Linked DNA regions of Drosophila melanogaster. The protein of the gene in region 3 binds, or shares a complex with, the protein of the main gene of each other region. Each region holds a gene or a part of one and is shown on either strand. Other genes may lie near its edges. The genes, in order: Sec13, Nprl2 and Iml1.

Region 1 (10,475 bases), on a different chromosome or scaffold from region 3:
ACGATATTCGAGATGAGAACTCTATATTCTTCGAGGTGGATGGACCCTACCTTGCCATGGTGTTACCCGCTGCCAAAGAGGAGGGCAAGAAGCTGAAGAAAAGATATGCGGTCTTTAATTTCGATGGCACACTGGCTGAACTCAAGGGATTCGAGGTGAAGCGACGCGGTGAACTGCAGCTGATCAAAAATTTCCAGAGTTCCGTCTTCGAAGCTTTCCTCGCTGGTAGCACACTTGAGGAATGCTATGCATCTGTGGCCAAGGTGGCGGATTACTGGCTTGATGTACTCTACAGCAGAGGATCAAATCTACCCGACTCGGAGCTATTCGAACTTATTTCGGAGAACAAGAGCATGTCCAAGAAGCTTGAGGAGTATGGCGCCCAAAAGAGTACGTCCATCTCCACGGCCAAGCGATTGGCTGAGTTCCTGGGCGAGCAGATGGTAAAGGATGCGGGTCTGGCTTGTAAGTACATTATTTCGAAGAAACCCGAAGGAGCACCCGTCACCGAGAGAGCTATTCCCTTGGCCATTTTCCAATCCGAACCGAGCGTGAGGCGACATCACCTGCGTCGCTGGCTTAAGGACAACACCATGGGCGATGCGGATATACGCGATGTGCTCGATTGGAACTACTACATAGAGAGATTGGGTGGGACCATTCAGAAGATCATAACCATACCGGCGGCACTGCAGGGACTGGCCAATCCAGTGCCCAGAGTTCAGCATCCGGATTGGTTGCACAAGAAAATGCTGGAGAAGAACGATGTGCTCAAGCAGCGTCGCATCAATGAGATGTTCACCAGCAGACCCAAACCGAAACCTCTAGCCACAGAGGAGGACAAGCTGGCCGATATGGAAGATTTGGCTGGTAAAGATGGCGGTGAGGGTGCTGCAGGCTGTCCGATAGTCACCAAGAGAAAGAGAATCCAGCTGGAGGAGCACGATGACGAGGAGGCACAGCCGCAGGCCACCACTTGGCGTCAGGCCTTGGGCGCTCCACCGCCCATCGGTGAAACCAGAAAGACCATCGTTGAGTGGGTGAGATTTCAGAAGAAGAAATGGAAATGGCAGCAGGATCAGCGCCAGCGTAATCGCCAGGCGAGCAAGCGAACTCGAGGCGAGGATCCGCCGGTGGTCAGAGCAACAGGATCCACAGCTACACTGGGCGGATTCCTTAGACGTGCACAACGCACCCTGTTGGACCAGCCGTGGCAGATCGTACAGTTGGTGCCCGTCGACGACCTGGGCCACTTCACTGTGTGGGCCTTAATCGGCGAAGAGTTGCACAAGATCAAGTTGACGGTACCGAGGATTTTCTATGTAAATCAGCGAAGTGCAGCTCCTCCAGAGGAGGGTCAACTTTGGCGCAAGGTCAATCGAGTTCTGCCACGATCCAGACCTGTTTTCAATCTCTATCGATATAGTGTGCCCGAACAGCTCTTCCGGGATAACTCGCTGGGCATGCTGGCGGATCTGGCGACGCCCGACATTGAGGGCATATACGAGACGCAGATGACGTTGGAATTTCGCGCCCTCATGGACATGGGCTGCATTTGCGGTGTCCAGCGCGAGGAGGCACGTCGCTTGGCCCAATTGGCCACCAAGGATCTGGAAACATTTAGCATCGAGCAGCTGGAGCAGCGGCCCCAGACTCAGGTCAAATATTTGGCTAGCGCCAACAATCGATTGCGCAAAATCTACTTGTATCAGCATAACACACCGACGGCCAAGAAGGAGATCTGGTCACTGATCCTAATGCCCAGCAAGAAGGCATTTGTTTTTGCCTTGGACACAGTGCGTGCCAATCAAATGCCGAACATGAGGCAATTGTATACCGCCGAGCGTTTGGCCCTGCTCAAGAATCTGACGGCAGAGGAGCAAGATAAAATTCCTGTAGAGGATTACACATTTGAGGTTCTCATTGAGGTGGATGTCAAACAAATTTACCGGCACATACAGCGGGCACTGACCACCTACAAACAGGAGCATCAGGGACCCACCATTCTGTGCCTTCAAACGGCGCTGTCGGCGCGTAAACTCAGCCTGGCCATGCCGATCCTGCTGGAGTTTCCCCAGGCTGAGATTCATATCTCCGATGACGCTAGTTTGCTTTCTGGCCTTGATTGGCAGCGACAGGGCTCCAGGGCAGTGATACGCCACTTTCTGAATCTGAACAATGTTCTTGATTTGATGTTGGATCAGTGTCGCTACTTCCATGTGCCCATTGGCAATATGCCGCCGGATACTGTGCTTTTCGGAGCGGATCTTTTCTTCGCTCGCTTGCTGCAGCGGCATAACTTTGTGCTGTGGTGGTCGGCGAGTACCAGACCAGATTTGGGTGGCCGGGAGGCGGACGACAGCCGGCTGTTGGCGGAATTCGAGGAGAGCATTAGTGTGGTGCAAAACAAGGCCGGTTTCTATCCGGATGTTTGCGTGGAGCTGGCTCTGGATAGCCTGGCGGTGAGTGCCCTGCTCCAATCGACTAGGATTCAGGAAATGGAAGGCGCCTCATCTGCCATTACGTTCGATGTGATGCCGCAGGTCTCGCTGGAGGAGATGATTGGCACTGTTCCGGCGGCCACCTTGCCGAGTTATGATGAAACGGCCCTCTGTTCCGCCGCCTTCCGCGTTATGCGCTCCATGGTGAATGGTTGGTTGCGAGAGGTATCCATCAATAGGAACATCTTCTCGGACTTCCAGATCGTGCACTTCTATCGATGGGTGCGCTCCAGTAATGCACTACTCTATGATCCTGCTTTGAGAAGATCTCTGAATAATCTGATGAGGAAGATGTTCTTGCGCATTATAGCCGAGTTCAAGAGATTGGGCGCCACCATTATCTATGCGGACTTTAACAGGATTATCCTTAGTTCGGGTAAGAAAACCGTTTCCGATGCCCTGGGCTATGTGGACTACATTGTGCAAAGCTTGAGGAACAAGGAGATGTTCCACTCCATCCAACTGAGCTTCGAGCAATGCTGGAACTTTATGCTCTGGATGGACCAGGCAAATTTCTCGGGAATTAGGGGAAAGCTACCAAAGGGAATCGATGAGACAGTGTCGTCAATAGTTTCCACTACCATGATACGGGATTCTGAACGCAATCAAGATGACGACGAGGATGAAGAAGAGGATTCGGAAAACCGTGATCCAGTGGAGAGCAACGAGGCCGAGCAGGATCAAGAGGATGAGCTGTCCCTGGAGCTCAACTGGACAATTGGCGAACATCTGCCCGATGAAAACGAGTGCCGCGAAAAGTTTGAATCCCTGCTGACCCTCTTCATGCAATCTTTGGCTGAAAAGAAGACCACCGAGCAGGCCATCAAGGACATCTCACACTGTGCGTTCGACTTTATCCTGAAGCTGCACAAGAACTACGGCAAGGGCAAGCCGAGCCCGGGCCTAGAACTTATCCGCACTCTGATCAAGGCGTTGAGTGTGGACAAAACGCTGGCGGAGCAGATCAACGAGTTGCGCCGAAATATGCTGCGTCTGGTGGGGATTGGTGAGTTCTCCGACTTGGCTGAGTGGGAGGATCCCTGCGACAGTCACATCATCAACGAGGTCATCTGCAAAGCGTGTAATCACTGCAGGGACCTGGATCTCTGCAAGGACAAGCATCGCGCCATGAAAGATGGAGTGTGAGTTACACAAACCAGTACACATAATTTACCACAAATAATTGATTAATGTTGGATTTTTCAGACCCGTTTGGCTGTGTGCCCAGTGCTATGTGGCCTATGATAACGAGGAGATCGAAATGAGAATGCTGGATGCACTGCAGCGCAAGATGATGTCCTATGTGCTGCAGGATCTGCGCTGTTCGCGCTGCAGCGAGATCAAGCGCGAGAATCTGGCAGAGTTCTGCACTTGCGCTGGCAACTTTGTGCCCCTCATCAGCGGGAAGGACATCCAGACACTGCTGGGCACATTCAACAAGGTGGCTGCCAACCACAAGATGCAGTTGCTCCAGCAGACTGTTCATCAGGCGCTGACCACGCCACGCTAGGACCTAGTTTGTTGTTGTTTTCTAGATCGTAGGGCTTAAATATATTGTATTTATAATGGAATTTAATTCGATTTTAATGAGTTTTGAGTTTATGATGTCGCACAAGACGAATGTCTGTGTTAAGGAATGGACGCGCTTTATAATTCAATGAGATTCACACACTTTTAGTGGCTTTCGCATACGAATCGCTTGTTGTTTTCCCGATTTTATTGGTTTTTTTTGTTGACTTGCCCGCGGTTTTTGGGGGCGCACAGGCGAAATCAGCAGCTGAACTTAAAGCAATTAGACTAACTCATTCGCGAAGAGCGATCTCTACTGTGGGGCCTGGGTGATGGGATCGACCTTAACATCGGGGAACTGGAATTCGGGGAACTTCAGCATGTCGGTCTTGCCATCGCTGCCAAACTGCTTGGCCACACGGTCCAGTTCGGTCTTCAGCTCCCGCTCAATATCGGGATTGGAGTCCACCAGCTTGCCACCGCTGCAGGTGAGCAAAACAAGGATTATGTCGAGGCACACCAACGGATGAAGGAGCCAGAACTTACGCGCTCTTCTGCTTGTACTCGCGCACTTTGTCCAGGAACAGCTGCTGGATGGGATCGGAGGCCTTGTTCAGGGCAGGGGCAACGATTCCGAAGTTACGACGGGCCTCTGTGCGCAGGACACGCATGCCACTCAGCAGGGATTGCGACAGCATCTGGAATTGATAGATCCTTGTTAGAATAGCAATAAACGGCCTTCTTCATATGTAACCTTAAAAAGGTTATGTAATACAATTGTTTGTTTCGACGTTTCCCAATCGGTTTTCAAGCCGACTTTGCTAGCAACTTTATCTTGTATTCAAATTGTATTCCCTCAATCAATTTTTATGTATTTTAAATCTTGTTTTCACCTTATTTTCCTTTGCAAATGCTAACTTTCGTGCGGAAAAGTTACAATTGTCAGTTCACAATGGCAGTTGGTGTTAGTGATGTGCGCGTGATGGGTGTATGCGATACTATTGGACGTAAGCTTTTTAAATAGTAAGGGTATTTCCTAAGCTGATTTTTTGCTTTATCCTGTATTTGTCAGCTGTATCATATAGATTATATTCGTTGCGAACAAGAATTTTAATCAACAATCCGTTTAAATTACTTGCCTCTATCGAAATACAGCCTATAATAAAAATATTACAAATTATGAAAAGCTAATTTATACACTGTGTCTGTTTATGTATCTTACTATACATGTCCAACTTAAATCAAAACTGCTCCATAAACGTTCATACCAAAACACCACCTAAACTGTATCTAAAATCCCACACAAGCCAAAACCCGATCTAAATTGAATATAATTAATAAATTCTTGTTTTACTATAATATGAATATGAATAATATGAATATGAACTAAAAACTTTGAAATTATTCTATCTCATCTATGGACTAGAGTGACCATGTGATCAATTGCAAGTGTAACCATCAGCCACTGCCGCGCTCAGGTCACACTGCTCAACCAGGTTCCACGTCAAGCGCCGGAAAAAAACACGACTTGCATTTAATCAATTTATCTGGCGACCGGACGAACGGATTTCGAGCAAGATGGTGAGCCTGCTGCAAGAGATCGACACCGAGCACGAGGACATGGTCCACCACGCAGCGCTGGACTTCTACGGCCTACTGTTGGCCACCTGCTCCTCGGACGGCAGCGTCCGCATCTTTCACTCGCGCAAAAACAATAAGGCGCTCGCCGAGCTCAAGGGACACCAGGGACCAGTGTGGCAGGTGGCCTGGGCACATCCCAAGTTTGGCAACATACTGGCATCGTGCTCCTACGACCGCAAGGTGATCGTCTGGAAGTCCACAACGCCCCGGGATTGGACTAAGCTGTAAGTAAACGGGCACACCCATACCAACAAAGTTATGTTTGTTTTAGGAATCGACCAGGGGATACCCATTGTTAGGACCTTGATTAATAATAATACTTTAATAGCTTGATCCTTGATTAATAATAATACTTTAATAGCTTTGGAAATCATTATTTTAATATTTATGCTTGGACGTCTTGTATCAAATGTAATTTATCATTTATAATTGTTTACATCATGGTATTGAAAATATTTAACAAGAAGAATCAGATCTTGTTATAATAAATATATATAAATATATATATATGTTGGTGTCCTTTAAATTGTTCCCTCTGTCATAACACAATAAAATACTCTCTTATTGACGAGATTACGAGGTAGCAATGCGCCATGTCATACTTATGTTTAGATTTCCGTTATCATTTAAAGAGTGCCACATCTAACCTCTGTGCTTGCCACATTTCAGCTACGAATACAGCAACCACGACTCCTCGGTAAACTCGGTGGACTTCGCGCCATCCGAGTACGGATTGGTGTTGGCCTGCGCCAGTTCGGATGGCTCGGTATCGGTGCTCACCTGCAACACGGAGTACGGTGTGTGGGATGCCAAGAAGATACCGAATGCGCACACGATCGGAGTGAATGCCATCTCGTGGTGCCCCGCCCAGGCACCAGATCCAGCATTTGACCAGCGCGTAACTTCGCGTTCGGCGGCCGTAAAGCGCCTAGTGAGCGGTGGTTGCGATAATTTAGTGAAGATTTGGCGGGAGGACAACGACCGCTGGGTGGAGGAGCACCGACTGGAGGCGCACTCGGATTGGGTGCGCGACGTGGCCTGGGCGCCGTCGATCGGATTGCCCCGCTCGCAGATTGCCACGGCTTCGCAGGATCGCCATGTGATTGTGTGGAGCAGCAACGCAGATCTATCCGAGTGGACCTCGACTGTGCTGCACACATTCGACGATGCCGTGTGGAGCATCTCGTGGTCAACCACCGGCAACATTCTTGCCGTCACCGGTGGGGACAACAATGTCACATTGTGGAAGGAGAACACGGAGGGCCAATGGATCCGCATCAACTACGAGTCGGGTACGGCCATCCAGTCGAAGCAGCCCTCGCACCTTCCGCATTCCCACTCCCAGCAGCAGCAGGCGCTACAACAGCACCAACAACAGGCGCCATCGCATCCAGGTCCTTCCTCCGATTCGGAGCATAGCTCGAACCTGTCCAACTCGCAGCTCTCCAACTGAGCCAGCCCCGAAATATTGTCGTGCTGAAGTCGTGGTTAAAAGTGTTACTTTACAAATATATATATACGAAATACTATTTAATGTGCCCCTTTAAACGCTGTTTAGTGTATGTTTATTTGGACTTCATATGGGATCCCTATTTGAATCTTCTGAAATTATAATGAATTCTAAAGACAAGTTTTTGTCGAAATGGTATCATTTTTTTTAAGTTTTATCAAATATATTTGCAAATTGTAAGTAGTATGTATTTAAAAATAATAGTATAATAAGATTTAAATAATTAACCAAATTTTATTCAAACTTATTATTTTTAACCATACAGATAAATTCCAAAACTAAAATTTTTACACAATTTTTGAATGTCACTTTAGGTTTGTGTACAAGCTTGTTGTAATCTAGTTTCCGAACCATGTCTGCCTAGTACTACTGTGAATCAATTTAAGTAAAAACGAGGCAGAAACAGCAAATAGCTAAAAAACATTTTAAATTAATGAATATTAAAAGTAATTAAAATAAATTGTTTAATTCAGTAGTGTATAACTGTAATTTTTGGAAACCAAATTGGTATATAGTGGTATTTATTTCCAGACCGGGTGGTATTTTTTAACGTGTCTCGCGCGGGCACACTGGCCTCTTTCTTTTCTGCGCACCACGTTTCCGATTCGACGTCAAAATGAATGCGAACCTTCCGATTTCCAAGAAACGCAAGGTAATTGGGGAAAAATGAGACAGGATTACCTCCGGCATGTAATGCAGTGTCCGTACGTTCGTTGTTTCATCGGAGTTGTGTGAAAAACCCGGCCGGAAAGCGCGAAAATCCATCGGCTTCGGAGTTAACCTCAAAGCAGATGGGCGTCCCAAAAACTTTGGAACTCAACAACGCGTGGTGAAACAACAACAACAAGAAGGAGGATTGCTAGGTGTGCAATAGATGTGGAATGCGGATTATAATGGTTTCTTTTTGCTCCCCAGTTCGTTTCCGATGGCATCTTCAAGGCTGAATTGAACGAGTTCCTGACTCGCGAACTCGCCGAGGATGGCTACTCCGGCGTGGAGGTCCGTGTGACCCCCTCTCGCACTGAGATCATCATCATGGCCACCAAGACCCAGCAGGTGCTGGGCGAGAAGGGCCGTCGCATTCGGGAGCTGACCGCCATGGTGCAGAAGCGTTTCAACTTCGAGACCGGACGCATTGAGTTGTACGCCGAGAAGGTGGCCGCTCGTGGCCTGTGCGCCATTGCCCAGGCTGAGTCGCTGAGGTACAAGCTCACCGGAGGACTGGCCGTCCGTCGTGCTTGCTATGGTGTGCTCCGCTACATCATGGAGTCGGGAGCCAAGGGCTGCGAGGTCGTCGTGTCCGGCAAACTGCGTGGTCAGCGTGCCAAGTCGATGAAATTCGTCGATGGCCTGATGATCCATTCGGGAGATCCGTGCAACGACTATGTCGAGACCGCCACCCGTCATGTGCTCCTCCGCCAGGGAGTGCTTGGTATCAAGGTCAAGGTCATGTTGCCCTACGACCCCAAGAACAAGATCGGCCCCAAGAAGCCGCTGCCCGACAATGTGTCCGTTGTGGAGCCCAAGGAGGAGAAGATCTACGAGACGCCCGAGACCGAGTACAAGATCCCCCCGCCCAGCAAGCCACTGGACGATCTGTCCGAGGCGAAAGTTTTGTAAACCTAGTTTTACTGTTCATCCAATGAGCGACTAGCTGAAAGAGTTGCCCTCAAATACAACAAAACAACAGAAACAAAACAAAAACACATAATAATTCAATAAACAAAATCAATAAGTAATAACCCACTTGTGCAGTGCAGTGTAGAGTGCGAGGGTCAAACATAAAGTTGTGTCTGTCCGATATGCAAACCTGTTTTCCAAAAGGAAAGGATAGCTTTTGAAACTCAGGCTAAAAATAGACTTAGTCCCTCACCACCTCGCCACTATGATTAATAAATATGAAACAGTTTGGCCACAAGAGTTGCTTACCTTCCCATTTTATCAGAATAGGAATGCTTAATTTGAACAGATTTAAAAATTAGATGAAAATTTCAAAAGCATTTATAAATAGTTTGATATAAAATGTAATGTTTGAAGAGTAGAGATCTAGAGTTTTATCAGCATCTGTCTTAAATCCAGGGTATCACGACTTCGGCTGTGCCAAATGCATCTTACATTCTGGTTTCGCATTTTATTTGCATTTCTTGTGAAGCGGAAATCAGCGATTAAAACGGCTCACATTTTGTCCAGTTGTCTGCTGATTTATGAGGCTGTCCTTCGGGCAACATGAGTGTGTGTCCGGTGTGTCCGCGAGTTTCTGGGACCGCTGATGATAACCCGCTCCTCTTATTTATCATGTTGATATGTTTATTTCCCAGCTGGCACAGTGACACGGCCGCAGGGCAATTGCAGCGTGAAAATCAGCAATCGTTCAATTTATCAACATTTGCGAGATTATAACAGCCAGCGCGGGAGAAAGAGATACTTTTTTTTTTTTTTTTTTGTATCTTTTGCGCTCGAACTCGAGTTCGTGCCCGTTTGGAGCGGCCTGAAATCGCAGCTGCAGCACACGATCCTCGATCCCGATGACAAATGGCCACATGCAAGACTCCTCCATGCCCGCTGCCTCCACCTTCAGCCAGATGATGAGGAGGTGGAGCAAATTTAGGAGGAGGAACTGGCGGCTTGTCTCGGCGGCATCACGCATCAAGTTGCGATTTGCGCCATAAATCTAAATTAGCTGGCTGGTGGTAGGAATCGGCGCAGTTCCTGGTTGCACTATGGCACTATTGCTATGCATTACCTGGCTCCTCCACTTGCCCCAATCAATTAGGTGCACATAAAAGCAGACGAAACAAATTTTGCTGGCCATCTCGCGCGTCTGTCTGTGCGACTGTGAGAAATATTTTCCCAGCCGCAATTGTTCTGTCCATTGTTGTAGTTGCGGTTCATTTCAACGCTGGCATAAATCATACAGAACCTTTTAAACACGACTTTGAACGTATGATTTCAACACAATTTGTAAATAAATTAGATCGTGATTATGGCAACATCAATATCGCCAGCAACATCAGCATCTGCAGCAGCAGCAACAACAACGGGCATCCCCGCAGCAGCAACATTATTAACCGGCCAATGTGTTGTGGCATGTGTGGCAGCCATAGCTCTCCTACTAACTATATATATATATATTATAATGGCCATAACAACAAAGCGAAACCAAAACAAAAACCCGACAATTGCCGTCAACAAGTCTGCAAGAGTCGGCGGCAATGTGTTGCTGGTGTTGCCAGTCCATGTTGCAGTTGTGCGCCAGAGTGCAACATGCATATTGTCTGTCGAGGCTGCGCAGGTTCATAACTCGCCTGTCAGCT
Region 2 (10,475 bases), on a different chromosome or scaffold from region 3:
GCAAATCGGGCTGCCACACGACGCCCCTTATCCGTGCTATCCGATAACGGAGCGTCTCTTCGCAGTGCCCATAAAGCGCAAACAAGGCAAAAGCCAGAACAGCAGCAGAAGCGCATGGGCTTCGCTTGCCCTAATGGCCCGAGAATGGAGCAGGGTGCTTCGGAGCAGTAGCATACTTTTCGGGTTGCGATTAAAGCTGAAGCATAGTCCTATCTCGAAAGATTCACAATTTGGACAAAGTGGCATTGTCGATCCTAACGTGCAGAAATGAAACGCTGAAGCATACATATAAATATATAAATACCTGGACACACAGGCAACTAAACTTTGGTCGGCATACTACATTGGCTTTTCTTCAATAACAAGCTGGCCACATAAAAGACAATCCTCAGCCCGATTTGGAGAGTGGCCTTCAAGTTTATGGAATTGCTGCCAAAACGCTCATAAACAAAATCCGTGTAACTCACAGTAAAATCCTGGGAACAATGTGCAACGCTCTATAGAAAGGGATCTGCCAATAGAGAAGGTTGCTGACGGCCAGAGGATCTATCATTTGGAATCCTACCGTAACGAATATTTAAATTGCTAATAGTAGTTGTGTAAAAGATTAATCCTTGTAAATATATAGTAGTATAGTAATTCCCATTCTTCGAAATATATAATTGTTTAAGATAGCAGAACAATAATTTTTTTCTTATTTTTAAAATAAAAAAATAGTATATTTATAAGAACTTGATTCTAGACTCTTATACACATATGGCAATTTTAATCACATTTACTTAATATCGTGGTTGAATGCTGTCAACTTACAATTTAAATATAATTCGTTCATTTAAATTTATTCTTATATGATACCATTGGTTTTCTTTTACAAAAATTTTGTCATTTGTCGTCTTAATTTCATTTACACATATGGTAGTACAAAAATAGCAAAGTATTGGCCATATATGTATGTACATGTACGATACACAGGAATAAAACATTGGTTTTTGATTTACAACATTAAACTTTGTTTGCTGATATTCCACGGATGCTAGCCTAATAGTTTTTGCCAACCTGCTTTTAAATTTATCACGACTGGTTTGCAGAATTGTCTAAAACGTAAACTTTAAAAACCTACTAAAAGGAACCTACTGGAAGGACTTGGTCAGTATCCTGGGAGTCTGCGATTATTGGTTTGCCGTAGAGCAGGACCTTGGCCAAAATCGACTTGCAGCCAGAAGCGCTAGCATCGATACTTTTGATTATCTCTTCTACGTGCTCGTCTTCCAGGTGCACCATTGCGATGGCGGCTTCCCTGCGGATGCAGTCGACCAGATGGGTGGGATCCAGAGTCGCAAAGGTGACCAACTGGGTGTGTGGCATATTTCTAAGGATCTCCATATCCATCTCAAACTCCTCGCCGGGCTGCATGCTATTCACATTAAAGATAAACACAATGGTCAACCGCTTCTGTTGCGGATGCTCAGTGTGGTTGGCGCTCTTTTCGCCCTCACTTATCATTTCGTTAATGATAGGCACGAAGTGTGCATCCTTCGGCGTCATGTTATCAATCAAGATCATATTCTGTCCGCAATATGTCAGGCCGGATAGCATGCTCTTCACTCGGCCCAAAGAAGAACTGCCGGTCCAGGAGAGTGTATTCACGTTCTCGGGCCAGGGAAACGTTTCGCGCAAGATTCGCGCAGTGTGGCTCTTGCCTACGCCAGAGGTGCCCACCAAGACGATTGCCTGTTTGGAAGGAGATCCGGGATATTAATACACAAAATATTGGCAATTCATTAAGTTTACTAAAGATCATCTAGTTGTTTGTTGCAATAACCAGGATAAATCTGGATGAGCATATACAACAACTGGTAGTACAATCAATAGTAAACTATACTAAGTGATATGGAAAATCCGCTTAGGATGCACATTAAATCTACTGTTTCCCCGCTAGTCACCTCATTGGTGGTGTTGTCCAGTGCCAGTTCTAGCTGGTTCAATGCAAGATCCTGGTTGAGTACCTGGTGGCGGGCGTGCAGGACCATGTCGCCCAGCCGTCGGGAGGGATTGCAGTAGTTGTCCTGGTTGTGGACGATCGAGTGGTACTGGTTTTTGTAGCTTTCCAGGAATCCGCTGACCGTGGACAACTTGTCGGTGAACTGCAATAACATGCCAATTCCTGCGGCGAGGGCGAGAATGAGGTATGCCCAATTCCGCCATGGAGCCTTCTTCTGGGTACAATGGGCAATGTCCAAATGGTGTTTGCACACCTTTTTATTCAACCGCCTGTTGGACTGCAGGCGGCGAATCTCAGTCCTCCTCTTTCTGGCGAATGGCCGGCTTATCGGGGCGACCACATTTTCATTCTTTTCGTTCTGTATTAGAGTATTGTATGTGACCATTTTATTAAGCCTTGTTTCGTTAGCAACTGGATATTTTTGGCTGACTTGTGCTCGAATACAATTATCAGCCTACTGTGATACAATTTGGTAAAAACTTTGGTTGCATGTTACAAACCGGCAAATTATTCTAAATGCCGCTTCCTTCATGCAGTATTTCACGAGTGTTGTTTTGATAGGCAAACATATTTTGGTATTTTACTATCGAAACATTCTTCTGTTCTGCCAATAAATACAATTTTAATAAGTATTTTGTAATACAATACAAGGTATAAATTAAAATAGTTTCAATCAATGTAAAATTAATGAAAATACGTAAATTTTAATTTTAGCTTATTGATAGTCGGAATTGTACTACGATTTAAATAAAGGTATATTTTAGGTAGGTATTTATTTAACATGTGTCAATGTTAGTATATTTTACGAGCCTAAACAAAAACGGTCAGTTTGCAGTAGCCGACTTCTTAAAACTGTCATTATTTTAATATTTCAATAACCCGGAGCAAATCCCAGGCAGTTAATCCGATCCGCAATGACGAACGAAGATGTGGGCACCAACAGCGTCGCCGACCGCCTACAGTTGGGTCCGCGCGAAGGCGTCACCTATCCGATCCAGATGAAGTACTGTGGCCACTGCACGATGCCCATTGAGGTGAGTTCGTCTTCAAACCTGGGAAAAATCCATATTAGGGATCATATATGGCCCATATATTTACATATATATATATCCACTATACGCAGTACTGCGAGTACTATCCGGAGTACGAGAAGTGCAAGGAGTGGCTGGAGCTCCACATGCCCGATGACTTCGAGCGACTAAAGATTGAGGAGGAGGCTGCCGCCGCTGACGGGACGGATGACGACAAGAAGCGCCAGAAACGCGGTGGCAAGGGACTGTTGCGCGTCAAGAAGAAAGAGGACGTGCCCAAGCGTATCTGCGTCTCGCGGGCGGCACGTGGCAAAAAGAAGTCAGTGACCGTGGTCACAGGATTGAGCACTTTTGGTAGGTTCTGTTCGCACATTATGAGTATAGAGTAGGAAATGGAGGGGGATGCGGGCCCACTGGATGCTATGAGTAGCCATTACCATACCATGTAACTTAGATATATTAGATATACTTATGAGCTTTATTGTTAACTAAGCATAATACATTCCCTGTCTGTTCCAGATATTGATCTCAAGGTGGCCGCCAAGTTCTTTGGCACGAAATTTGCCTGCGGCTCCTCGGTTACCGGAGACGACGAGATCGTCATTCAGGGTGACGTCAAGGATGACTTGTTCGATGTCATACCCGAAAAATGGGCCGAGATCGATGAGGACGTCATCGAGGATTTGGGCGATCAGAAGCGAACATAAATAATTTACCTTTTTTTTTAGCTTATTTTATACGCTCCATCAACATAAATATATGAAACGTTAAACGTAATAAGCGGATGGGTTATTTTGGCGGCTGCTACCCGAGGTTTTCTCCATCTGGTGTCGGATTGGACTTGGTTTCCATTGAAGTGGGTGCATCCGTTGCAGGCGCTGTAGTGGCTTCATTTGCTGGAGTAGCATTATTTTCTGAAGACGATGTTTCCACTGGGCTTGCTTCTTCTGCTGGAGTAGTAGTAGTGGCTTCACTTGAAGGAGTAGCGACATTCGCAGGAGTAACTCCATCACCTGGCGTGGTTTTGTCCGCTGGAGCTATTTGTTCCGCTGGATTGGATTTTGCCTGGGCATTACGCTTTACGCCAGATTGCTTGCCGGCCTTCGCAGTGGACTCCGCAGGCTTTTCCGCCGGTGTTTCCTTAGCAGCGCCTTTGGTTTCTCCACCATGGAAGTGTTTGTAGCTCAGCTGAATGATTTTCTCGTTCTCCTCATCGGTTAGTGGAGCTTTATTGTCGTCGATGAGCTGGGGAGGTTATTATATACTTAATTAGCCTTTCTGGCATATGATAGACTAATCCTTACCAGTTGCGTGTGTAGTGCACTTGTAGGCGGATCGTTGATCATTTGCAGGATCTCTTGGGACTTTAGACGATAAGAAGACAGGTCTTTAACGTAATTCATAATGTTCTCACGAGTTTGTGTCTTGCAGGGCGACTCCTCCAGATACTGCAGTGCCTGTGGAACAAAGTGTTTGGTTAATTTATCATATATTAGTTAAATATTTAAAAAAATCGACACCTCATAGGTAACCGTGGCCAAGTTGCGCATGCCGAACTTCTTTTTGGTGCTTTTGATCTTCTGTAGAATCTGCATTACCTCCAGATTGGTGAGGTACGAGAACGTGGGATTGATCCTGAAATGGAAGCGTTATCATCTGCATATTATTCGCTGTTTAATGGAAAAACTAAATAAAAACAAAACAATCCTCACGTTTCCATTTCTGCAAATTTTAGTATGACCGCAGAGCGAGCGCTAAAATATACCCCACCTACGCATATTACAGTTGGCCTTTATATATTAACATAACAGATAATTTATACATGAATAAAACGATCTACTCAACAAATTAAATGGTGTTGAATTAATTTGTTGTTAAAATTTGTTATAATTGGTTTTTGCATTGGAGTATATTTGTTGCAGTAAGGCTATGGTCACACTAAAGCATCGCTTACCATAACATTACAGCGAATTCCGCCACTGTTATTGGATTGTGCCACCTGCTGTTAAAGCTTTGGAGTCCACTCCGCGGAAGGAAGCAGAGGATGTGGATGCGGTGATACTGGAATCTTTTGAACGGCATGCATTCCCATACGAATGAGACGGCTGCGACGTCGACAACGGCGGGCGCGGTCACGAATGGAGCAGGCGGATCAGGAGCTGGAGCAGCGGGTGCCCATGGCAGCACGGAGGGCAAGATCCGGTGCATCTTCCTCAGCGAGTTTCATGCGACGGCGGGCTGCAAGATAAGCTGCCAGGTGAGCTGGTTCCCAGGAGCGCTGATAACGCAGTATAGTTCGAACAAATCCACGTCCCTCAGGTTCCTGATAACTACATATCCAAGGATGTGTTCGATGCTATCAATGTTTACATCATACCCAAGCAGCATCTTCAACGCTGCATTCTCACCGTCAACGCAATGGATGTAAAGATAGTCGGCTATCCAGTGGGCATCCAGGATCAGCAGAAGTACGCACGGAATGCCTTCCTGTTTAACCTATGCTTTGTCTGCGACTCGCGGGCCAGGAGCGTCCAGTACGAGCCGGTCGTCAAGAAGCTGTCCGAGTACCTCATAATGATGGAGGAGGAGTCGTGCTTCCTGTCTCGCGAAGATGACAAGCGCCGCCTACAGAACATCTTTGAGACTGTACTACGCGACCTTAACGAGCGGAAGGTGGCCACCATTGTTGAGGGCGATAACACTATATACCTGAAGATCGTCATGCACAAGCCGGACCCGCCGCCGGTCAAGGATCACATGGTGCCCCTGCTGCTGGCGAACCTGCGCGATGCTCCGCTGGACAACTGGGACCTTACCACACAACAGGTGCGGACTATTCCTGATTCTATAGTTATACAATCTTCACGATGTAAATAATTTAGTAATCCCATTGGACTGTTATGGTTTCCTCTAGATCCTGCCTTATATAAATGGAATCAACCATGTTGCCCGCATTGCCGCCGAAGCGGACGTGGAAACGGACCTGGTCAAGTCGTGCATACAGAATCTGGTCTACTACGGGGTCGTTCAGCTGCTGCCAATCCTGAAGTACAGCAACGTGTACATGACGCAGAACCTAAAGCATCTCATCCAGAGCGCATCACTGAGCGGCGCATGCCGGAAATACGTGGCCTTGCGTCCGGACAAGACGCTGCCCAGTGTTCAGCGCATCTTTCAGTTCTACGCCTCGATGACTCACGGCGTTACTCTGCGAGCGATCTGCCAGAGATTGTGCCCCCAGCACCACAACATCGATGAGCGTCGCATGGTGATCTTCGGGCTGCAGCACCGATTCATTCGCTGCATCCACAAGTACCCGGTGTTTACGGGCTCAGTGCCTTCCGGGCGGCAGAAGATGTACACCGGGCTGATCAGCTTTGACGAGATCTGCTGCAAGACGGGCCTCTCGCCCTGCACCATCGAGCGGGATATCGAGAAGGACACGAATGTGACTGTGATCTGGAAGTGACGACCGGAAGGACTTCTCCGGCCAGTTGGGTTTGTTGTAGTTTGTAAGCGAACCGATTGTTATGTTTCCAAATGCTTTTTTATATACGCGCATATACACATTAAAGTTTAAGAATTCACTGGTTTGGCTTGGGCTGGTTCCGGAATCGCTTTGCCAGCTGGACAGCAATCAGGAATCCTTTGCGCTAGAGATAATGCAATCCTGAACCGCCTGGGCCACACAGGCGTCCTCCGAGGCCATGCCTTAAATAGGAAATGTATGAAATTTTTAATGATACAACTTTGAAACAGACAGAGATAGTCATATAGTTACACAAACTTAATAAAAACGCACCCATGGATTGAAAGATGCTGATTTCTAGCTCCTTGGGATAGTTTCCATCCAGAATGATCTGACCCACTTCAGCGGTGATCGGCGCAGGTAATCCCACCAATTCAGCCTCGGCATTGGCATAGCAATCCACGTAGACCTTGGCCTGCTGGTAAATCTTTGGAGCCACCTCCGAAAAGTGAACTTCGCCGGCTCCCACAGCTGAAATCGAAAGTTATAAAGGGTAGGTCATCATCATCCATCCAGCATTCCATTATAACAGCAGACCTACCGTTAATATGAACAGCCCGTTTGGATTTCAGATCTGCCAACTGGATAAGCGGCTCCTTGGAGTACGTGGCGATGCAGATGATATCGGCATCCTGGCAAGCTTCGTGAGGACTTGGACATACAGTAATCTGGGTTCCGCTCTCGGTGTTCAATTTCTGCCGCAGTTGGTCCGCTAAACCCAGTGCCTTTGCCTGCGTGCGATTGTAAAGATTAAGCTGCCTCACCCGGAAGTTCGCGCAGAAAGCGGCAGCATGGAGTTGTCCTTGAACTCCACAGCCCACGATGGCCACGTTGATATTCCTTTCCTGCTCCGCCTGCGCCCCAAAGCGCCTGAAGTACAGATACTTGGTGGCCACCAGTGAAGCGGATACAGTGCGCCAGGTGGTCAAGTCCGTGCCCTCCATTATGGCCGACAGTTGACCGGTTTGATTGTCGAACAGCAGCACATGGGCATGGATGCTGGGCAGCGGAGGATCCCGTCGGGGATTCCCACTGAACGAGGTCACCAACTTGCAGGCCAGTGTTGAGTGGGTGTGCTCCACTTCCCCAGGATCCCTTGACGATTCCAGCCTGTAGTTGCCCACATAGGCGGGCATGGTGAGCAGAACCTTGCCAGGTTCCTTGCCGCATGGAATAAAAGTCCTCTTCGGTTGAAAGGCAAAGGATGTGGAGGGCGTTTCCGGATTCTGCTTAACTATAGCTACAAGTGCAGATTCCACTGCCTTATTGACCAGCGGCCAGGTGAGAACCTGACGCACAGCATCCGCATTGTAGTAAGCTGGCGTAGAGCTGCTCATATTGGCAATGAAATGGTTTTAAAACAAAGTAATTCTTGCAAATTAAAATATTCTAATTATAATTGGAATGCAACTTAGTATCTTACTAACGATCAAAGAATGCACTGACCAGGGATGCCAGGTTTTAGGAATATTGTTGTGGAAATAACTATATTAAGCAATGTTTTAATTTCTGATAATATATATTAGAAATATATTAAGCTTAAATACTGTGACTGTACTCTATCAATTTTGAAAATTGGACTCATTGTACATTTTTGTCTTACAAAAGCTTATTTAGTTTGAAATCTTGGCAGCACTGTTGACTTAAACTTAAAAATTAACTAAAAAATACCGTTACTATCATTTAAACACCTATCGAAATCAACAGTCGATAACTTTGATGATGCAAAGCGTTGAAATTTTAAATTGAAAGATCAAGGTGATCATTATTTGATAATATTCAACGTATTGAAGAAAAAACAATGACGTTCGGTTTAAATCAGGAAAGACCATTATCTGAAGTGGGAAAAACCACCAACCGAAAACCAATTTTCACGGGCGACTGTTTTTCCTCATTTCTAATGCAGTTTTCCCCATTCTTCGGCATCGCTGGGAAAATGCATTTTCACCGCACGCCAAGGGCGAAACCGCAGCGCTCAAAAAGGGAAACCGCTTCTGTCAACGGCTTTATCGCCCCGAAACGATTCTCGCAAACAGCTGGAAACTGAACCACAGCCCACACAACCCGTCCACTCCACTCCACTCCAATCCAATCCCACCCAGACCAATCCAATTCGGAGCCGCAGCAGGCGACACGAAAGTGAAAAGCGAATGCACTTTTCCGAGGCTGCAGCTGATAGGGAAATTAATTTATGCGCCGCCATTGTCTTTCTGGTCGCGCCATTTTATTTTCCCAGCTGCTAATTCAAATTTTGACATAATTTCTTCACTGTGCGCCTCCGTCGCATGCTTTCTCGCCTTTTTCCCAACCAATTTCACTTGACTTGACCTTTGCGCGGCAATTTCATGGGTTTCCATGCACTGGGCGAAAAGTACCGCCCTTCCTAATGTAGAATTCTTCTAAATGGCTACTGATTATGTCATTCATGCAAACGGCTAGGATTTACAGTGCACAGTGAGAAATTGGGAGAGTATTTCATGATTTTATATAAGAAGAATAGCATTGTGTTGAATTATGATACTTTTAAACCACCTTAAGTCACCCAATGTCTAGAAATATTTTTGATTTTATTAAAGTCACCCAATGTCTAGGAATATTTTTGATTTTATTAACATTGAAAATTAAACATTACAAACTTACCACTCAGCATATGGAATCTTGTTTCCAGCTTGTTTTTCGGCCTTTCACGATATGAACAGGATGAGCTCTACTTTTTTTTCGAGTGCATGGGCCTGTGTGTAGGGTGGGTCTGCAGCCTTTTGTTGTTGTTGTTGCAGGCTGATTTATATTCGCCCCCAAGTGCCACAAATCAAAGTCGAGCTGCTGCTGCTGACTCATTGGAGCGGCTCCTGGTTTATCGCGGTGACCTGTTGCATGCCCCACTCCTGGAGACACGGCGGTGGCACCACCAGAACTAATAGAACCAACAGAACTTGCAGAACCACCAGCAGCAGCACTTCTGATTGTTCTGACCTTGCTGCCGGGTAAGTGGTTGGCCATAAATTTTGGCATTGCGCAAAAGCCACACCGGCAGCTAAAAACAAAAAAAAAAAACGCCCCGATTCTGAGCTGGATTCCAATTCCAAATCCAATCACAAGAATCCATATCCGAAAAGTGAATTGTCGCCCTGACGCTTTGAATAAATTGCTAAACGATTGGGCAAGCGCCAAAACTTAATGGCCAAAAAGGATTTCGCCTCGTTGCGCATAAATTTGCGGGCCAAAATCAATGACGAATTTATTGGCCAACTACGTAAAAATAGTTAAGGATATATACACTGAATATAAAAGAATATAAAAGAAAATATGGGTATATTGTGGTAAGAAAGATTAAATGTTGATGGGAATATTGTTTATCCAGTTAAACCTAAATATTTTTAATAAATACTATTTTTGTTACTATTTAAAAAACTTACTAAAACTCACTAAAAGAGTGACTTAACATTCAAATTGAACATTATTTAGTTATTATTCTTAATGGATGAAATGGGTTATCCAAATCAATTGACAATTGGGTGTTTTGTCTTTAAGTTGCTGAAACTTTTCATATTTATGCCATTTTGGTTGGCGGCTTTTGAAATGGAAACTGTAACGGTAACGGTAACTGTAACTGTAATAGTTATAGTAATAGTAATGGTAATAGCAATGACTATAGTCGACTATAGCATACTATAGTCTACCAGTCACACACACACACACAGAAACAGAACGTTGCCACACCTTTTCTTCGCGGAGCTGGATTTTAATTTTTTACTGCCTTATTTCTGCGCTTAGCTTAATTTTGTTATTGTTTTAGTGCGCGCCCGCACACTTGGCTCACACAGATACACACACTCACACACAGGCGCGCACACGTAGGTTAGAAAAAGGAAAGTCTGCCGGCGCGAAAAACTCGACGCTGAAGTATATTCGC
Region 3 (10,475 bases):
TGAATATTCCGAAGAGGATCAGAAAGGTACTAAAGCGCCTGACCGGCTTGCGGTTGCCATATCTGACTTGACCAGCACCAGGCACTCCTAGTATGGCCCAAAAATGTCCGTCTGGAATCAGGCGGCGCACATACACGAAGTGCACTACGAGCAGAACAAACAGCAAGCACAGCCACATGGTTAAACTAAATGGCAGGAACACATAGAGGCTCCTCGAAATTTCATTGTCCAATGGGATCATGAAGCAGCGCGGTGCCACCTGCGTGGGATATGAGTAGTCCACACTGGTGTTTGATTGCAGTGTGTCGTACAAGTGCGGACTCAGCTCCACCTTGCCCTTTACAATCAGATCCGTGAGCGCAGCCATATTCAGCAATGAAGAGCCATTTACTTCAAATCTAAACAAATCCATGGTCACGTTCAGGTGCATCATCAGTTGATTGATCAAGATCCCGCCCAATCCGGCCAGTTCCCAGGCCTTCGTCCTGCGATTCTTGTACCAAAAAGTATTGGGCACATCCTGCTGTACGGGCAATCGCATCCTGTAGCCTCTGAAATTTTTTCGATTTGCAGGCGGAAAAACATGATGCGGATCATAGGAGGATAATCTTCGCATGCGTATCACCCTAACAGTGGGATATGGATCCATTTGGTAGAAGTTTCTGGCGGCCACCACTACCAAAGCGCTCCGGAACTGCAGTTTCCACAGGAGTTCAAAGAAGTATTTAATGTCCTTTTGCGACTCCTGCTTTCTTAGCAGGAACATAGTCCTCGTGTAACGCCTTCCTCTGGCTCTTTCGGCCTGCAAGTAAATCACCGCATCCTTGGAATCCCTGGCGAAGACCAAATATATGGTCTCCTCATCCTGCAGGCTGCTGAAGTGGACGTGCGAGGAATCCTTGTCCGTGGCCGTCATCTGCGGCAGCATGTAGAAGTGATTGCTGCTGTTGCACATCAGGCCGCGATGCAGATCGTCCAGATAGCTGGGATCAACAGATCCCAGGCTGTTCACTATAGTGATGGCATGCAAGCGATGCACGCGGCCGATCCTGTCCAGAAACAGAGCCAGCTCGAAAGCGCGGTCAAAGTTTTCGGTGGCCACGATTTGGTAGCGCGACAAAAACAGCGCGAACAAAAACTGAAGATACATTTTCGCTCGTGAACCATGCCAAACTGACTGGGATTTCCATGTACGCCGAGTACTTCAAGTGCATCTCGAATTATTTGCCCCACGATACGATCTCTAAAACAAAACCTGAAAACTGTTTGCCTAACACTTACCCGTGGTAATTGCTGGTGTCCACTCTTGCTCCCCAGTGGCTCCCCAGAGGTAAGACTTCGCCTGGGTGGCCGTCAGGTTGGGCACATTGGCGGGCTGGGGGTTCATCGGCGAGTTTTGACGCCGCTTAAAGACTGCGTATACAAAGCAATGCTAGTCGAGGAGGTTTAACTTTAGTTACTGCTACTCACAATCAATGGGCTCATCACCCATCACAAAGCTCTGCGAGGAGTCTGACTTGTTGAGCAGCGAATGGCTGGACACTCGGTCGTACTGCTCTCCATTTTCGCACCCGTAATCCTCCTGGTCGTTGTTGTTGTTGCTCTGCGTCTGCTGCAATGGTCTCTGCTGACCAGCCTGCGTGGGTTTGGCGGGCACCGCTTGATAATGATGCTGCTGTATGAGTACACCGGTTGGGCCCTTCGGGAATATGTGCGTCCAGCGGCGGCGATTGGAGGTCAGCTTTATTGTCACTTGCGAGGGATCAAAGGGATTGATCAGAGCGCGACCCGGACGCACTATGGGCGCAATGCTAACGATCGTCCTGCGGGAGTTCTTCTCCGAGGCCAGTGACTCGGAGAGGTTGGTTGTATCCGGTTGCTAAAGTCACATAAAAACAGTTCAAAAGTCAGGTAAAAAGTCAGTATTAAGATTTCCCTTACCAAGGCAGCCAGCATTGCAGAGGTGCCGTGATGAATATCGGGATCGGACATCTTGCGCCGCATAGCCGGGATTTGAGTCGGCGTGAGGTTCTCCCAATCGTTGTTCCTATAGGCATAGGTCTCTAAACTGGGCACCGATGTCTTCTTAGCCCGCACTACACGCTGCAGGGAGCTAAGAAAATAAAACCTTGATCAACAAAGCTAAAAAGGTAATTTTGTAGCACAATACTACCAAGTACTCTGAGCGGGGAGCGGCTGGAAGATCTGTTCATCATACGCATCGTAATCAAAGAGCGAGTTGTGCTTATACTCCGACTGATTGCAGCTCAGGAAGTGACGCTCGTTCTCCTCGCCCTCCCCGTCGCCAACGCCATCGTGGAGCGTCAACTGGGATCCAAACAGAGGCAGCTTGATCCGTGGTATGAAACTGGAGTACACAATCTTCTTGTTAGTGGAGTAAAAGCTCAAGTTTATCCAGTGGGGCAGAGAGTAGTCATCGGCGGAGGTCAACGTGGTGTCTTTGTTGTGGAATTTGAGAAGCGGAACCGCATGCAGTGGCTGCTCGCCCACACAGACCAGGTCGCTACCCACGCCATTGTCGATAATGCGCTGCTTCGTGATATTGGTTAGCTCTCGATCCACGGAAAAGACACCCACTCCTGGGGTTATAACCACGGATAGTTGTCCGGTGCGGTCGAACGTTCTATCCAAGTAATGCTTTTCGAAAGTGTTCAGCGATATGTTTAGCACCTCCAAAAAGTTACCCTGAGTGGCTGAAGAATTGGTGGCCGGTGGAATCTTCATGTTCTCCCGTTCGTGGTAGCGCAGCACAGTGGCCTGTAAACGGCGTAGTAAGTTTTTATAATAGAATAAATTAAAACATGGTTAAGTGACCTGGTAGGACGTGAATAGCTTTCGGAGCTGGCCCAAAACGGTACACCAATCATCACAGCGCTCATTCTGGATGGCCACGCGGTAAAAGTCCTCGTAGAAGCGACCCTTGTAGTCCTGCTGCAGGCAGTCGCGCATATGCTCGGGAAACTCGTCCAGGCTCTTGGCTGCGTAGAAGGTGCGGGAGAACAGCACGATGGTCACCTCGTGGTTACAGCTCAATTTTCGCCACTTTTGAAAGAGCTCAGTGAGAAACCCATTGACTGCCTTTTCGAAGTACAGGTCTCCGTGGATGTCAAAGTCCCACATCTCGGAGGACATCTGCAGGAAGAGGTACACCATCGAAGTGCTGCTGCGGAAGACAATCTTGGTGTCCTCCGTGATGACACCGCTGGCCACGCGCTCGCCTTGCGACCACATCTCGTACACCTGGCACCGAATCTGCATGTCGTTGTAGTCGATCTTCTTGTTCACATACACACAGGTGTCCGTCTGAGGGAGAAGTGGTACGTTAAAAGTATATCCTGGTCTGAAAACTGCGTGATTCCTTACCAGGTAGGTCTTCAGGCGCCACATTTCCGAGCGACCCATGTACTGGTCCTTGAAGGTAATCTCTATCGAGTCCAGGGCCACATCCGCCGGCTTAACTATGCGCATCACCACATTGGAGTACGGACGCATTTTGAAGGCATTGGCGATGCCCGATTCTATGCTTATCACATCCCGGCCACAGCTGCCATTGAACTCGGTGATTTGGAGCAGCAGGTGGGTGCCGTTCTCCTCGTCGGGGGCGTAAATTTCTACCACATCGCCCACATTGGCGTTGGGATGATCCTTTAGATTCATCACCAAGTCCGCATCTGTGCCGAAATTTCCGTGTAACGTAATGTTTGCGCAATATCCACTTTCGCTTACCGTAGGATTTGTTGCAGCCACGCGTATGCGTGTTCAGCTTGTACAGCTTCATGTTGACTTAGTGGTTGCAAAACCAACGGACAATTATTTACTCAATTCCAACATTTGCCCATTTGCATGCTAGTAAAATAAAAATTCTATTTTTTCGTCTTTTGTTTTGATTCCTTATCTGCAGAGTGACCGCAGGCATGGATTATTTGGTATTTTCCTGTACAAATATACCGAATTTAATGTTTACCTTTAATTGTTATTGTAATTAATTAAATCACGCAGTTTATTTATATTTTTCAAGGTAGCTCAACACTTTTATCTTTTATTGAAAAACTAACTTAATCTGCATTCCCTGTCAGCTTAATTATTTTCATATATATTAAATTAAATAATGATTTCAGTTACGTAAGCTTTTCTGTTATGTATGTTATTGTGTGATTTGTATTATTCGTCACAAAATTTGAATTACCGAACGTTAGGGGCAACCGATGCTTTCGTCACTAGACTCCTACCAATTCAGCGGGGATTTGGTGCGTTGCTATTGACTGAAATTTTTTTGGCATCTATGAAGCCTTTTAATTTACCCACAAGTGTAGCCAAAAGTTAACATATTTTACAAACTGGCGAAAAACTTTACTAATTAAAATAAATGTTTTTTTATATTATCGATTTAACACATATACAGTTGCGTAAAAAATAGCACCACCATAGCGCGTTTTATTCTAGATACAAATAATTAAGGTTGCACCGAAATAACGCAATATTTTCGAATAAAATTTTTAAAAATAGTTCTGGGTATTTTTCCTATTCGAATATAATAATAATCTGTAGAATGCATATATTTTTTGCAGCTTTATGCTTATATATGTAGTCAGTCTGCGTCACAGAAGCGCAATCGATTTCTTTCAGATAAGACCTTTTTAATTAAAAATGTAATTTCACCTATACTTCTGGAGGAAAATGATTGTTACATCGCATTAAAAATAAACACCCCCACGCTAATCAGTTTGTCCGCTCCTGAATCTATCAATTTCCATCTTTCTGACCATGAGTTAATCTAAGCAATTAGAACGTTCTATTTAAGTTTTCCGTACAGCTTTATTGTTTACACATATTTATTTGCTTAATGAATTTATCACGAAGTGACTACAAGCTGCATTCGTTGTTTTTCATTGAATAAATTTTATTGGGTCGCAAATATCAGTGAGTACATTTCGACAAAAATTGTTTAAAGACAGTTCGTTCGCCCGCGTAAATGGGTAATCCTCCGTCCTCAGTCAGATAGCTGCACTCGACTCGCTCCATTCCGGGTCCACCATCCATCCAGCTTCCATCATCCGGACCCCGGACTCGTATTTATGATCCTCGGCGTCGGGGATTGTTTCGCAATCGGTTGTTTGTTTATTGTTTGTGGTGATTAGAACGCCACTGACGACAGAGATCGCCAGATCGGGCAGATAATTCGCATTCTCTACTTATAGCGAGGGTTATGTATACAATCGAGGCGCGGGTCGCTCACCAGGATGCGTCGAAGTCGATTCGTCGGTTCGAAAATGAGTTTGCTCGTATATATGTAACTAACAATGCAAAGGGTCAAAGGGTCGTCGTCCTCGTCAATCACAATCTCAATCTCAACATGCAGCTTAAACGGTAGACAGAACCACGAAACTGGCTCCTAAAGCTAACTAAACACGTACGGACTACAAGTAAACGTTAATCACTAGGGAGGATGGGCTGGAGCACCACTCTCACATCGCCACGGTGGCCAGGACAACGGTGATGTCGTCCGGCTTGCCGCCACGCGCCTGAATGTTATTCCTCCTGGCGCTGAGGGCGAAGGGCGAGAGGAACTCGCTGTTGAGGGACAGGGTGCGCGCCATCAGCGCCAGGCTGTTGGCCGTCATCTGGAGCTTGACGGGATCGCGTTCGCCCTCCACCTCGCTAAGCACCTGCAGCATTAGATCCTCGGGCACGTTGTCGAACACTCCGTCGGTTGCAATGAGAATCACGTCGCCATCCCGCACCGGAAAGCTCATCGTGTCCGCCGACTCAGGGCTGTCGCTGAGGACATTGGGCCCATGTCCCGGCGGCGGCAATGACAGTTGGAAGGGTGTGTTAAAATAGTGCTGCTGCTCCTCGGACTTGTGAACCACCTGGCCTTCGCGCACCACAACGAAGCCGCTGTCGCCGATGTTGGCCGTGTGCACGGTGCTCGTCTCACGGTTGAGGATCAGGACGCAGGCGGTGCTGCTGCCCAGTATGGGCTTCTTCTGCTCCATCAGCTCGCAGTAGCTGTAGGCCAGCAGGTTGACTGGTCGTTGGGGATTAAAGTGGCTGCACTGCACCAACCGCTCACAGGTGCGCATCAGGAACGATGAAAACTCTCCGGGATCGATGCCATAGCTTCGCCAGCCGCCCACGCCGTCGGCCACGCCCATGACATCGGCACTGGCGGTGGAGGCCTTGAACCATGAGTCCTCGCCGTACTTTCCCGGCTTGTACTTGTGTCGCAGGTTGTCCTTGGCGAAGCCGCACACCACCGACACGAAACGGGGTCGTGGGGCGCCCGAGGATCCTGGTGTCGCTCCCGACTTGGTGGCCCCCTTGGCTGCTGCCCCACTTCCGCCACCCGTGGCCGTTTCCAGGAGCGTGGAGAAGCTGCTGCGCAGGGCGCGAGAGATCGCACGCGAGGTCCAGCTGAGTGACGAGTGCATCGCCCAGAACTCGTGGTCTCGTGCTCTCAATCAATCAAATCAATCGCATGTGGGGGGGTGTCGGATTTGGATTCGTTTTATTCGTTTGTTACGACGTCGGAGTGCTCCTCCTTGGCGTTCACTCCTACACGCCACTCCTCCGCACTCGTTTTTTCCGGTGCAAAACTCCTGTCTCGACGGGGCACACAATTTACGTTCCAATTAAATGCGAAATGTTATGTGATGAAGTGATACACTTTTTCTCGTCAGGTCGCGATCCGGTTCAGAACTGGTTCGGTGCTGGTTCCCCACCCCAACTCTCCGCTCCTGAACGGGTTCCGAAACCATATACACCCTATTGTAGTAGTGTTATTTTCGGAACCAGTACAACTCGTTTATATACACCAACGGTATATATAACAAAAAGGGTGGTAAAATATGCAGCTTTACTTATTGCTCAAGTTTTAAAAAACAAACATATTTTTCGATGCAATTGTTTTTCGCAAGTATTTTTCTGCTGGTATTTTAAAGAAACCCCCTTATGCTTTTAGTTGAATTATTATAACGGTCATTTTCTTTTGGTTTACTCCTACTTACACAGCCTGGTCATACTGGCGACCAAAGTAGTTTGTTTTTGCCAAAAAAAAACTCAGGTCTGCTCTACTCCGCGATATTTGTTTGCCCAGCTGGTCTTTGTTGTTGGTAGGTCCAAACAAACACGCAGCCAGTGTTAACCCAGTTTTGGGGCTAGTGATTGCTGTGGCTCCCACGGCCCAGCAGCGGGTTAAATACGACAGTGTAATTGTGAAAGAGGAGAGTGTTGTGTTGTTGGTGGTGGACGTGGGCAACGACATTGGCATAGAAAATTTTGCATACACTCTCCTTCGCACACGCACACCTTCGTCGAAATTGTAAAAATAAAACAAACAAGTAAAAATAGCACTTGGCTTGTTGTTGTGCCTAAAGTTGTACGTATTTTGCAGACGGAAATTGATTGGTTGTGTAAATTCGAAAGTGCACGAAATCGCGAGCGCATAACGGTACATGTATACACACACAAGCAGCACACGCACACACATGGAGGCAGTGCTTTTTGTTTGATGTCCCATTTGGCGGATTAAAGACAAAGAGAGAGAGACAGAGAAACGGAGGAGGAGGACGAGGACGCGATGACCACAAGGGAGAATGTGGTTTCTAGTCGCCTGTCCAAGCTGATGCTCAGCAGCGGGAGTGGAAATGGCAGTGGCAATGGAAGTGGTCCCAACATCCAGGTGGCTCCATCCTCCACCCTGGTGCAATCTCCCACCTCGCCCGGGGAGCAGTCCCAATCTCAGTCCGAGCTGAACCAACTGAAGCGGGATGCGGATCCGCAGTTCTCGCGCTTCGCCGACTACTTTGTGATATGTGGACTGGATCTGGACACGGGTCTCGAACCGGATCGCTTTGCGGGTAAGTGATGAATGCTCGCCGAGATTGGGATTAACTTCACATCTACGCCTCTTAGGGGACAACCTACATTGCTCGCCGCTGGATCGCGCCTACAAGAGCAAGCCTTTGGCCCATTATCCCGAGAACGTGCCCTGGAATCCCTTCGATGCCCACGGCATATGCATGGTAATCATAAAGACTGTTTGAAGTCACTCCCTAGCCATCTTAGGGTGGATCGGTTAATGTCGATTAGATAATGTATGATAGTCTAAACTATTTAAATGGCTTCCTTCATGCTTATTCCCAAACACACATCATTTTGATGAATCATTAGGTCAGAGAGTGATTTATTGCCATCTGTCAATGGAATCAGTTCAGACTGCTAAATGTGAATTTTTAATTATTTTTATATTTACATTTTTACATCATTACATTGTAAGTGTAGAACTGAAGCATAGAAAAACTTATATCTTGCGAATGACCGAGCCACCCTAATCCATATTCATGTCTAATTGAGCTCAATTGGCTGCCCTTTCGGTGGAAATTCATGCTTGGCTAGCTAGTTCATTGATACACTCGTCCCGAGTTGTTGTGAGAGAAGCACTTATAATTGATGCCACGAATACGACAGCGTCACCCCTCCACCGATAAACCTTATCTCGGGCATCTGGGCATGTGTTCGAATGAATGGATTTTATTTATGCCCGCCACTTGAGATCGAGAACTCACCCCCGCCATTTGTCTTCCACAGCTCTCACTACCGCAGGGCCTGCGCTTCCGCACCCAGAAACATTGCATCGAACCCCGTTTCCACTCGTTTGCCACGACACGAGAAGATGGAAAGCGGTGCTATGGGTTCAGTCTGGTGTTCTACGAGGAAATTCGGAATCGAAACATTTGCGGGGCCATTCACACGCTACAGAGCATGTTCATCACAGAGCTCTCGAATGGCCAGCAGACGCATTCCCTCAGTCGGGTGAAACAGGATGGTCCGGTCAGCCGGTCACTGCCAAGGCACTTTAAGGTGGCCGGACAGGCGCCGCAGTCTGCACAAAGTTACTACGACATCAACAAGGACAAGTTGTACGTGGCAAAGAGCATCACGCTGATATGTCAGGCTCCGTACGCCTTTGCCGCTCAGATGTTTCTTAAGAATCTGTATAGGTAATTGAGATACATATAAACGCAGAATCCTTGTACTAAATTTCATTACCTCTTATTACCTAGATGTCTTCCTCGACAGCCTGGTGCTGGTATCAGCTTGGAGTCCTACGTATACAACATACTCTACGAGGTTATGCTACCGCAACCGGGCAAGTCCATTCGGGTTTACCTGCCTCCCACAGAGCCACATCTGCCACCCATTGCTTTGATTCTTCAGCGTCCGCTTCTTGCTACCGAGTTGCCTCTGCTCGACTTTCCGCTCAGGCTGCTTTTCAAGTACCTGGGTGTGGAGTGTGTCATACAGCTGCTGACGTGCGTGCTCTTAGAGAATCAGGTCCTGCTCCGGTCCACAGGTCAGAACTTGCAATATTGCGAATTCGTAACATATCTTATAACCTTTTCATTTCCCCTGCAGACTATCAAAGACTTATGATCGTTGGTGAGTGCATTACCTCGCTGCTGTTTCCGTTCGTATGGCCGCACGTGTACGCTCCCATTTTGCCGGCCGCCCTGCACCACTTTCTGGACGCACCAGTGCCCTTTGTGATGGGATTACATGCTGAGTGCGAAGCGGCTCACAAGATCGGCAGCGAAGCAACCCTTTGCTTCGTGGACATTGACAAGAAGCACATCCAGCTGCCCGAGGAGCTTCCAGTCTTTCCTCACAAGGTGGATTTTATGGCCGAGATTGGTTCGGTGCTGGACAAGTTTGAGATCGAGCGAGACCGCGACCAGGAGCCTAGTTTCCGAAACGGCTATGTGGGCAGAGGAGCCGGAGGAGGAGTTTCTGGATCTGGAAGTAGCGGGTCAGGTGGCGTCGATGCCATGATCTCCAGCTGCACCCTGCCCACCGGGTTACAGGCAGCACGGCGAAGCAAGGAGCGCTTTCAGCAGATGCAGGAGACCGTCTATACTCTGTCGGGATCGCCGGGTGGTGGCGTCGTGGATTACCAACCGCTCATAGCGCATCCATCGCGAATCGATCATGTGCCACGGATCGCGGACTTTCTGCGTAGGAAGGGAGGTATCAGGGGAGCTGGCTCTCCGGTGGGAAGTCCCACCGTTTCGCTCTCTTCCTCGCCGGTTGGCATCTACCACGACGTAGACGCAGTGGACGCCACCATGCCAGTCAGCACTCGTCGCGCAGAGAAACAAAAACTGAGCCCTGTGGATCAGTACTACCAGGATCTGCGCATCAACAACTCGGTGCGGGAGATCTTTCTCAACCGATTCGTGCACATGTTCCATGCCTACGAGTACTTTGTGATCTACCCAAATCAGGCTCGGGACGAATGGATCTCAAACCGTGAGACTCTGCAGAACTTCGACAAATCCTCGTTTCTGTCCGACCAGCCGGAGCACCATCGCGCGTTTCTTTCGCGCTTCCTTGAATCTCAGATGTTTGCCACCCTAATCGACAACAAGATCCTGGCTATGTGGGAGTCGCAGCCC

Evidence for each region.
Region 1: Iml1 (region 3) and Sec13 share a complex: the UniProt entries of both Drosophila melanogaster proteins name them as parts of the GATOR complex.
Region 2: Iml1 (region 3) and Nprl2 share a complex: the UniProt entries of both Drosophila melanogaster proteins name them as parts of the GATOR complex.

Annotation. Positions count from the first base shown.
Region 1 is NT_033777.3:23,351,078-23,361,552, forward strand, and holds Sec13 (secretory 13), read left to right. Parts: upstream 1-5,200; 5' UTR 5,201-5,588; coding exon 5,589-5,875; intron 5,876-6,320; coding exon 6,321-7,104; 3' UTR 7,105-7,454; downstream 7,455-10,475. Other genes in the region: PolE1 (DNA polymerase epsilon subunit 1), read left to right, coding at 1-3,643, 3,708-4,011; ATPsynCF6 (ATP synthase, coupling factor 6), read right to left, coding at 4,324-4,492, 4,557-4,708; RpS3 (ribosomal protein S3), read left to right, coding at 7,778-7,813, 8,077-8,781. UniProt on the Drosophila melanogaster protein: Functions as a component of the nuclear pore complex (NPC) and the COPII coat. At the endoplasmic reticulum, SEC13 is involved in the biogenesis of COPII-coated vesicles.
Region 2 is NC_004354.4:16,878,879-16,889,353, reverse strand, and holds Nprl2 (nitrogen permease regulator-like 2), read left to right. Parts: upstream 1-4,988; 5' UTR 4,989-5,113; coding exon 5,114-5,290; intron 5,291-5,352; coding exon 5,353-5,859; intron 5,860-5,947; coding exon 5,948-6,502; 3' UTR 6,503-6,670; coding exon of another isoform or gene 6,671-6,744; 3' UTR 6,745-6,835; downstream 6,836-10,475. Other genes in the region: CG4880 (uncharacterized protein), read right to left, coding at 1,120-1,731, 1,944-2,387; DENR (density regulated protein), read left to right, coding at 2,917-3,036, 3,126-3,387, 3,553-3,740; Polr3I (RNA polymerase III subunit I), read right to left, coding at 3,838-4,278, 4,338-4,490, 4,554-4,668, 4,746-4,753; CG4872 (uncharacterized protein), read right to left, coding at 6,671-6,744, 6,836-7,033, 7,104-7,899. UniProt on the Drosophila melanogaster protein: An essential component of the GATOR subcomplex GATOR1 which functions as an inhibitor of the amino acid-sensing branch of the TORC1 signaling pathway.
Region 3 is NT_037436.4:1,530,110-1,540,584, forward strand, and holds the start of Iml1 (increased minichromosome loss 1), read right to left. Parts: upstream 3,926-10,475; 5' UTR 3,800-3,925; coding exon 3,748-3,799; intron 3,693-3,747; coding exon 3,385-3,692; intron 3,325-3,384; coding exon 2,836-3,324; intron 2,779-2,835; coding exon 2,174-2,778; intron 2,114-2,173; coding exon 1,942-2,113; intron 1,880-1,941; coding exon 1,471-1,879; intron 1,414-1,470; coding exon 1,282-1,413; intron 1,151-1,281; coding exon of another isoform or gene 1-1,150. Other genes in the region: Ir62a (ionotropic receptor 62a), read right to left, coding at 1-1,150; CG12091 (uncharacterized protein), read right to left, coding at 5,487-6,452; pns (pinstripe), read left to right, coding at 7,601-7,880, 7,936-8,045, 8,611-9,023, 9,087-9,376, 9,439-10,475. UniProt on the Drosophila melanogaster protein: An essential component of the GATOR subcomplex GATOR1 which functions as an inhibitor of the amino acid-sensing branch of the TORC1 signaling pathway.